Linked DNA regions of Xenopus tropicalis. The protein of the gene in region 1 purifies or fractionates together with the protein of each later gene. This does not show direct contact. Links are inferred from orthologs where the notes say so. Each region holds a gene or a part of one and is shown on either strand. Other genes may lie near its edges. The genes, in order: itga2 and itgb1.

Region 1 (4,389 bases):
GGTCCAAAGAAGGGCAAACTAAGCTGGTAACGGGTATGAGAAGTCTCAGTTATGGGATATGATAACTATATATATATATATATACATAAAGTTGGCTTTCACTCTACTACACATGCGCAAAGATCGAAGAAGGGACACTCGCCCGCATACACCCCAGCAGGTTTCAGGTAAGCAATAGTGGTGAGCGAATCTGTCCCGTTTCGGTAAAAAATTTGTGAAATTTGCAAAAGATTCGCGAAACGGCTAAAAATTAGCAAAACGCGGAAAACCAAAATTTTTGTGTCGCGTGGCAAATTTGTGCGAAACATGGAAAATTGCTGCAAATCCATGCCTGCCGAAAAATGTTGGGATTAAAAGAAATCGATTAAAGTCACTGGGGGTGCCAAACATTTTAGCACCGCCCCCAGTAATGTAGCCTTTCCTTCTTCTTTAAACATTAAATAAACACAATGGAATTATTTGTTAAAGTTATGTTTTATGTTTTTTCACCAGGCATGTATATGCTGCGAAATTCCCCATTTCGCCATTGGTGAATTTTTTCGTGAAAATGCTGCATCAAATAAGCAGTGGTCACATCAAAAAAACCACAGTCGCGTCAAATAAGTTGCAGTCACATCTAGTGATGGGCGAAAAAAATTCACCAGGCATGGATTCGCAGCGAATTTACGCGTTTCGCCATTGGCAGATTTTTTGGTGAAATGGAAAAAAATTGGTGCAGAAAAATTTGCCGCGCATCCAAAAATTGTCTCCCGTGTCAAAAGAATTGTTGCGAGTGTCAAAAGAATTGTTGCGAGTAGCAAAAGCATTGTTGCGCATCAAAAAAGAATTGTCTTGCATCAAACATATTGTCGCGTGTCTACCGTATTGTCGAGCCACAGACATATTATTGCGTGTCAACCAAAAGAATTGTCTCTCGCGTCAAAAGAATTGTCGCACGTCAAACGTATTATCGTGCAACAATTTTTTTTGATGCACAGCATTTTCCCTGTTTCGCGAATTTTTCGCAGTTTCGTAAATCTTTTGAAAGATTCACGTGGGAGTGACATACACATAGTCACGGCCACATCAAATAAGTCGCAGTCACGTCAAATAAGTTGCGTCAAAAAAGTCACACACATCGAAAAAATTCGCAAATTTTTTGTAATTTCACCAATTTTCCAGTGAAGCAAAACGGGACAGATTCGCTCATCACTAATGGCAATTACTTTTGTACGTTGTACTTGTATGTGTTTAATTTTTTATACCTACCCTTCTGTCTGTACTAGCAGCACTACTACACTGTCTGCCTTTGCCTTTAGCTTGTTGTGAGTGTCTGTGCAAACACAATTCTATCACATCCTGGGGCACATCCTACCTTTATTGGCTACTGATTGCATTCCAGCGTTTGCACACTCATCCCTATCAGTGTGACAGAGTTGTGTGGGTGAGGAGGAGGAGGAGGAGGAAGGGGTAGGACTGGCTGTATTTGCAGACATGAGTGTAAGTGTAGAGAAGCAGCGCTTAGCTGTGTGACTGCTCCTCCCAGACCAGTGACTGTGCCAGTAGATAAATACTGTACAAGGGCAGCCTGCCGAGTCACTTTGCACATTGGGATTATCACTGGGAACAGAGAAGTTTGGAACTCACTGTAACAAGGTCCCTGATTGTTTGGCTGATGGCGAGAACAACTTGCATTCCTTGGCTGCTGCTGGTAATACTACAAGGTACAGAACATTTTGTAATACTTGCTACTTTCTGTCTAGAATGTACTGTATCTAGAACTATAGAACCCCCCAAATACCTGGGCTTTTCCTGCTGATGTCCCATAATTCTTTGTAAGCCAACAAAGTACTGTTCGCTTTATTTCATAGTTCTCTCCCTAGTCTCCACAGCTACTGGGTTGGACTCCTTTTGGTTTTAAAACTTGACCAACTGCACAGAAGAATATGATTGATCTTATCACCAGAAATATGAGCTTAGTAGCTTCTCTTTCTTAATTGGGAATGGATGAAAGGCAACTGCATTGCTTTATAAATAAATGTTAATAATAATAATAATTGCTGTAGCCATGATCATAGTAAGGCAGTAGCTGAGGCTTCAGGTACATTAGGACCAATTTTGGTGCATGGTTTGTATGGTGCACAGCGACAAGATATTTCTGGAAATTTTTGTTCATTGTGGAAACTATGTTCTTACTATATATTACTAATACGTTTACTGAGCAAAATGCAGTATTTCCATATGCCACAGGGCTGTCAGTAGATATGGCAAGCTATACTGTCACCATACAGTAGTGCTATACCCTGCAGCCCTACTGTACCTAGAAATGCTGATCTGTGGAGTCAATACTGTCCCAGGACAGTAGTCCCTTTTTGCCCTATAAACATGAAAGTAATGTAAGTAAGGGCTTCATATACAGAAAGAACTGTAACACTGTGCCACATATCCAGTAACTTATTTGTTTCCAGTACATCAGATTGTAAGCTCTGCAGGGCAGGGACATCATTGCATCAGTGTCTCTAAGCTCCATATCCTCTCTGTAATATTTGTAACTATTTGTATCATTTACCCTTCCCCGACTGTACAGCAATGTGTACCCCAGTAGCACTATATAGTGAGAGATATACAGGGAAGCATTCAGTATGTGGAATTTAAGAGCCAGATACACAGTAATGTAGGCAGAAATGCAAGGGGGGGGGGGGTGTAGGAGGTTAACAGTTCCTTTGATTCTGTTCTCTGGAGACCATTAAAATTCTTTGCGTAACCTCTTATCTACGGGCTGCATCCCACGTCTTTCTTGTAGTCTGTACTATCAGTGCAGCTTGGAAGTATCCTATGTATGTATGTTGTGCCCACGGTCGGTATAATACAGTGGAATGGAAATGAATGGATATTGGTACACAGATTTTTTTGTTTTCTGCATCAATTTTGGCCATTTTCTGCTCTTTTGGGCAGGACTCTCTTCACCTCTTGTATCGGTTATTGATTGCTTTATATGTTACTCTGTATGTCCAATGTATGTAACCCACTTATTGTACAGCGCTGCGGGATATGTTGGCGCTTTATAAATAAATGTAATAATAATAATAATAATAATATGAGGCAAAACACATAGGAAATTAAAGAAAAGTTGTTGCTATTTTTTGTATGACATAGGAAAGCTCATATAATAAATTCCCTGATTTAACTACTAGAGTGCTAAGGGCACTTTGCATCTGATGGATTTGGTCCAACAGTGGGTGCATGGTACAAAGCACAGTGCTATGGGGGGGGGGGGAGCCTTTAACTTTAACTGGGTTGGAATGGGGTGTGGTCTGGGTAGAATAGGGGTGTGGCCAGTTACAAAATATTTTGGTGACCTGTGGTATTTAGTGTGTATAACTTTATAGAGGACTGTGTGGGTCAGCCCAGACCCACACACTCATAATCCTACCCAGACTTGTGCCCCCACATTCCATAATCCAGCCAAACAAGAGGCTTGCTATAGCCAACTCTCCCCTATGTAAAATAGGGTTGCCACCTGTCTGGTTTTACCTACACAGTGCAGTTTTTAGAAGGGCATGGTGTTTTACTGAGCTTATCTGTTATCTGCTATGTAACCTGTGCCTTTTCTCCTTTATCATCTTGAATGGCTGCCCGTATGGCTACAGAGCAGCTAGTTTATATAAATTCTAGTAGTCTTTCTGAAGCAAGCCAACAACCTTTCCCAGGGCAGGGAACAGTACTTTATATATTTCACCTTTAAATTTCACCCCAGGGAGAAAAAAATGCAAAATATTCAAGAAGAAGAGAAAAAAAATGAGAACCAACTGGAAAAGCTGCCTTGATTCAGTCCATCATGCTAAATGTTAGTTGAAAGTTCAATTCCAATAAAAAAGGAGACAATGATTGATCCTAACAGTTGTAATGCAATAGTGTGCCGTCCCTATCCCTGGGAATGAGATGCCGTGCAGCACCTAACCATATAGCAGTGCATTTGTGTCTTTTATAAGTGTCATTTACATGAGAAACGGAAGTTACATTCATGTGGTTTATACTGTATGGCCAGTTAGATAAGCAGCGGGAAGGACTTTCACATTAACATTAGCCAAATATGTTTGTGGTTGGAGAGAAAAAACAACTTTACATGAATCCTTGGTTACAAGCAGAGCATAAACAGAGCATTAATGCCGGCGAGTAGCACATTTTCCTGCCCCAGCAATGTCTCTGCTTGTTCATTCACTGAGCCTGGGATTCATCCCTGTGGAATGCATGGCTCCAGGGTGTCAAGTGATAATGAGGAGGTTTCAGCTTGCTGGTGTGTATATTGTTAGACATGATTCTATGGCTCGATGTAGAGACCCACAACTATATATGTGCCTTATAAATAAGTACCTACTGGCCTGTGGTCTACAGGGTCTGTATAGTAAG
Region 2 (4,360 bases), on another chromosome or scaffold:
GTGATTACAGCCTGAGCCTGAGGTGTGAACACTGCAGGGGGTGAACCATGCAGGTATTAAAAGGTGTGAAAAACACAGGGGATTAAATTTTTAAACAATACAGAGGGATTACAGCCTGAATCTGAGGTGAGAACCATGCAGGGGGCCAGTTAATCTCAGTACTGATACCATTTAATGCTTACTCAAAGGTAAACCATCAAAGCAGCCAGACAGATGGGGGCCACACAGAGGGGGGTCGCGGGCCGCCAGTTGGACAGCACTGCCATAGACCATGGATCCCCAACCTTTTATACCTGTGAGCCACATTCAAGTGGAAAAAGTGTTGGGGAGCAACACAAGCATGGAAATGGTCCCTGGGGGTGCCAATAAGAGCTATAATTGGCTACTTAATAGCCCCTATGTGGACTGGCAGCCTACAGAAGGCTCTGTTTGGCATTATACTGGGTTTTTATGCAACCAAAACTTGCCTCCTTACCAGAAACTCAAAAATAAGCAGCTGCTTTGAAGCCACTGGGAGCAACATCCAAGGGGTTGGGGAGCAACATGTTGCTAAAGAGCCACTGGTTGGGAACCGCTGGCATAGACAGTCACTACTTATTGGCCCGGTGGGGGTGCTACTTTGGCCTTTGCGTACCTGAAATGCCAGGGCCTGATGCTGGGGTACCATTAGAATACGGCGGCACACAGATATTATTGCCACACTTGCCTGACTGGTAAAAATTAGGCTTCATGTCAATGTTATAAATAGATATAAATAAAAATATTGGAAGGCTGGTATTTTTTTCCAGAAAAGGTGGCAACCCTTCAGGCAGATGAACCCTACCCTGGGGATTGCTCGCCTGTGGCCTGAAGAATGAAACAAGAATCAGTAGAAGCGCCCAACAACATACAAACTGCTTTCAGCTACTGACTGCCATCAAACCATGTGGTACCAATAAACTGTACTGTACTACAAGCAAAGCTTATCCCCTGGAGTGTATGCCTATTGAGCTGTGGTACTGGTGCCAAGCTGTGCCAGATATCGGGAAGCGATCCCAGTGCTACTAATCAGACAGTATGGGGCAATAGCCGCCACTACACAGTGGCCATGTGGGAGCCCCTGCCCCCATCCCCCCCCATTCCCACGTAGCCAGTCCCGCCCTCCCACATCCTGACGTCACCGGGCTGGAATGCGCTTCCTGCGGCGCTTCTTGCTCTGGCTGTGCGCGTCCGTGTGAGTGCGGGGGCGCGCTTGTGGTGCGTCAGCGCAGGCTGGGTGCTACTCGGGAGGGGACCGTTACTGAGAGCGGACACTTCATTCAGCGCGCAGACCTGCCTGGGCTCGGAGGCCGCAATCTGAGGCAGCGCTTAGTCTGTGCGATTCAGCCCGGCAGGGCGCCGCTCCTGGGATCCAAGGGCCCCACGCCAAAGGTGAGCCGCCGCTCTGTGTTACCTGCATTCTGGCCCCAGTGTCCGCTCACTTGGTACAGTCTGTGCTTAGGGCATTGCTGCTCCGTATCTGCCTCCCTGTGGGGAATCCATATGGCTTAGAGAAGCCGGGACGTGTAGCAGCTACTTTGCACGCCGGGAGTTGTATTGTTTGTCAGTGATAGGTACAGGGGGGCAGACTTGGGGCTCTACAGCTGCTGGGAACTACTGCATTCACTCGCAGGGGATTGTGGGACTTGTAGTACATGCCACCTGGAGTTTTTCCATTGTGGAGTTTGTGCTTCAGTAGGTAGAGGGTTAATAGAGACTGGGGGAGGGGGTGACCTTGCTTAGGGGCAGCTTCCTATAAACTTTCCTTGTTGTGGGATCCCACCCTTCCAGGGCTGCAGCGCTCTCCCTCCTTAGTTACTGCGCTAATTACATGATCATGTGTGTAGGGGGCTCTGTGTAAGTGAATTGGGTGTCTGGCTGGGACTGTATGTACCCCCCCCCCCATAGAGACAGCAGGGAGTTTCCCTGCAGGAATGTGCACAGAGGGAGGCGGCAGAGGACATCCTGGGAGGGGTGAAGGGGGGGCAGTCTCCTTCTTTCTCTCTTTATTTTTAACAGTAGATCATTACCATAACCATAGATATTATTAACCAGGGCTCAGCCGGCCCACGCTGTCCCCTTTCCCTGTGTGTTCAGTAGGGCGCAGGGTAGTTGTGCCACGGTCACTATAAGTACAATATAGCACTGCTTCATTTGGCTGCTGGCTCCTAACAGAGTCTCCTAAGAGAAGGCGGCCCCCAGGCACGAATAATGGTTTGGCTGACACTGAGGGCACTTATATTGAGTTATGAGTGGGTGCTTGTATGTGGCTTTTTTTATTGAAGCCCGAGCAGCGTTTTAGCCCAGAGGCTTCCGAGGGTGGATGAGTCCCAAAACGTATTCTTGGCAGGGCCGGGTTCAAGGGTGGGTAACAGAGCCTAAATCTGTGCTGGGAACCTTATGAGATTAATGGTGAGGTAATCAGTATGACAAAGGAACTAAAATGTTCTGAAAGCTTGCTGTGATTATCTTAGTTAGCCAATAAAGGTATCGCCTTTATACCACTTTTATTTCTAAAGGGTTACCCTTATAAACATTTTGACTGGCTAACACAGTATATCACCTTTTCCTGCATGGTGAAGATTCAAATATAAATTCATAAAAGAGCTTTTATGAAACTCAGTGTCCCACTTTTCCTATGATTATCTGCCACCCCGGGCAGGCAGGGCCCTTTGTGCAGAGGATCAGGGTAGTCTGGATTATATAGAGGAGCAGCCACATTCTCTTTACAGATACTACACTTCAATTTAGCTGAAAGGACAACAATTACCATTTCCGCCCAGTAGGAGTGTAAAGCCACACTGGGGCTTATTGGCTTTGAGCAGCTGTGCACACAAGGTGCAAATCAGCACTCCCTGTGCCACCAGCACCTTATTTGCACCTTGATGTGACCTGCACATTGTTCATAGGTCCCAAGTGACTCCGTAGTTGTATCTAGGCACTGAGGGTCATTTATAAAATTTGCACAGTGCAGAATTATTCACACAGTGAACGTATTTACTCTACCTGTATTTATATTTATAAAGCTGGACAAGACTGGTGCGTTTAATGGGCAAATATAATTGCGAAATTTTTATTCACAGTGCAAATGCCCTTCAAGTTTTTTAAATATGGCATATTCGTAAATTGCGAATGTTTATGCGCGCAGTCTGTGTCCGCGCTATATTTATTCATAATAAATGGGCACAGAGGGCAAATCGCAGTCTCATTTGCGAATTTTTGTGCGCAATTCACATTTCACTGCGATTTGCATATATCTAGAAGGCATTTCCCTTGTGAGTAGAGGAGGCCATACCGGGCAGATTTTATCTGCCAGTGTGTGGGCACGAACAATGGGTCTGCCCGACCGAGATTTGGCCAATTTCAGGCCAGATGTTGACTGGGCAGGTTTGATTTTTCCGTCGTATCGGGAACCACATTGGCTCGTTGATGTGGCCCCTGTTTTAATTTGAATTCGCCTGATATTGCTCACCCATAGGTGAGTGTATTTGGAGAAGATACGTTTGATTGGTGACCTCGCCATAGAGTGGATCTTACCGTGTATGGCCAGCTTAAAAGTGGTAAAGTGACCCCCCCCTAGACCCTGTCTAAGCTCTAATATGAGCTGTGCTGGTTAACCCAAGATCAAACCTGTATACATCTAATCAAGATGGTGCTACTGAGAATATTCCCTAATATAGGTTTGTGTCAGAGAAAGAGATTTGTCACAGTGATTTATAAGTTAATTATCTGGAATTGTCTCCCCATCTGTGGGCAGCATGTTTTGTTAGGGTTATCAACTACAAATACATACGTTTTTTTCTTTTAGCATAGTGCTATTCTAAGGTAATTTGCAGTTGGTCTTGCATTGGTCTCTGTTTTTTATTTTCGTTCAGCAGATCTTCAGTGTTGAATTTTAGCATCTACCTGGTTGCCAGGGTCCAATTTAAACTAGAAACCAGGCAGTGGTTTGAAAGAGAGAGGGGATTATAGGAGGGCCTTAATAGAAAGATAAGTAATAAAACAATAACAAACTATTGCTCTGTGGGGCTACAGTTTAATTTTTACCTGCTGGGGTCAGCGACCCCCATTTGAAAGCTGGAAAGAGTCAGAAGTGGAAAGCAAATAATTCAAAAACTATAAAAATAAAAAAATCCAGTTGTAAGAATTCAGTTAATCTGAAGGTAAACAACGGCTTTCAGTCCTGCTTCCCCCATACACTTGCGTGCAGAAATCCCTTATACACTGGCGCAATGTATTTTAGAGAAGTGTGTGTTTGTGACAACATCTCCAGCTGTGATTTCTGTTTCCTGTCTGAAATGGAGTCCTTCCTGCCCGTGTCTGTCTGTAGTCTGACCGAACA

What was found.
Region 2: the proteins of itga2 (region 1) and itgb1 purify together in Homo sapiens (co-immunoprecipitation; 3 studies listed by BioGRID and IntAct, with this or other methods). This does not show direct contact. The link is inferred for Xenopus tropicalis from reciprocal best matches to the Homo sapiens genes ITGA2 and ITGB1.

Annotation. Positions count from the first base shown.
Region 1 is NC_030677.2:192,671,253-192,675,641, reverse strand, and holds the start of itga2 (integrin alpha-2), read left to right. Parts: upstream 1-1,455; 5' UTR 1,456-1,654; coding exon 1,655-1,703; intron 1,704-4,389. UniProt on the Homo sapiens protein: Integrin alpha-2/beta-1 is a receptor for laminin, collagen, collagen C-propeptides, fibronectin and E-cadherin. It recognizes the proline-hydroxylated sequence G-F-P-G-E-R in collagen.
Region 2 is NC_030682.2:22,870,740-22,875,099, forward strand, and holds the start of itgb1 (integrin beta-1 precursor), read left to right. Parts: upstream 1-1,308; 5' UTR 1,309-1,410; intron 1,411-4,360.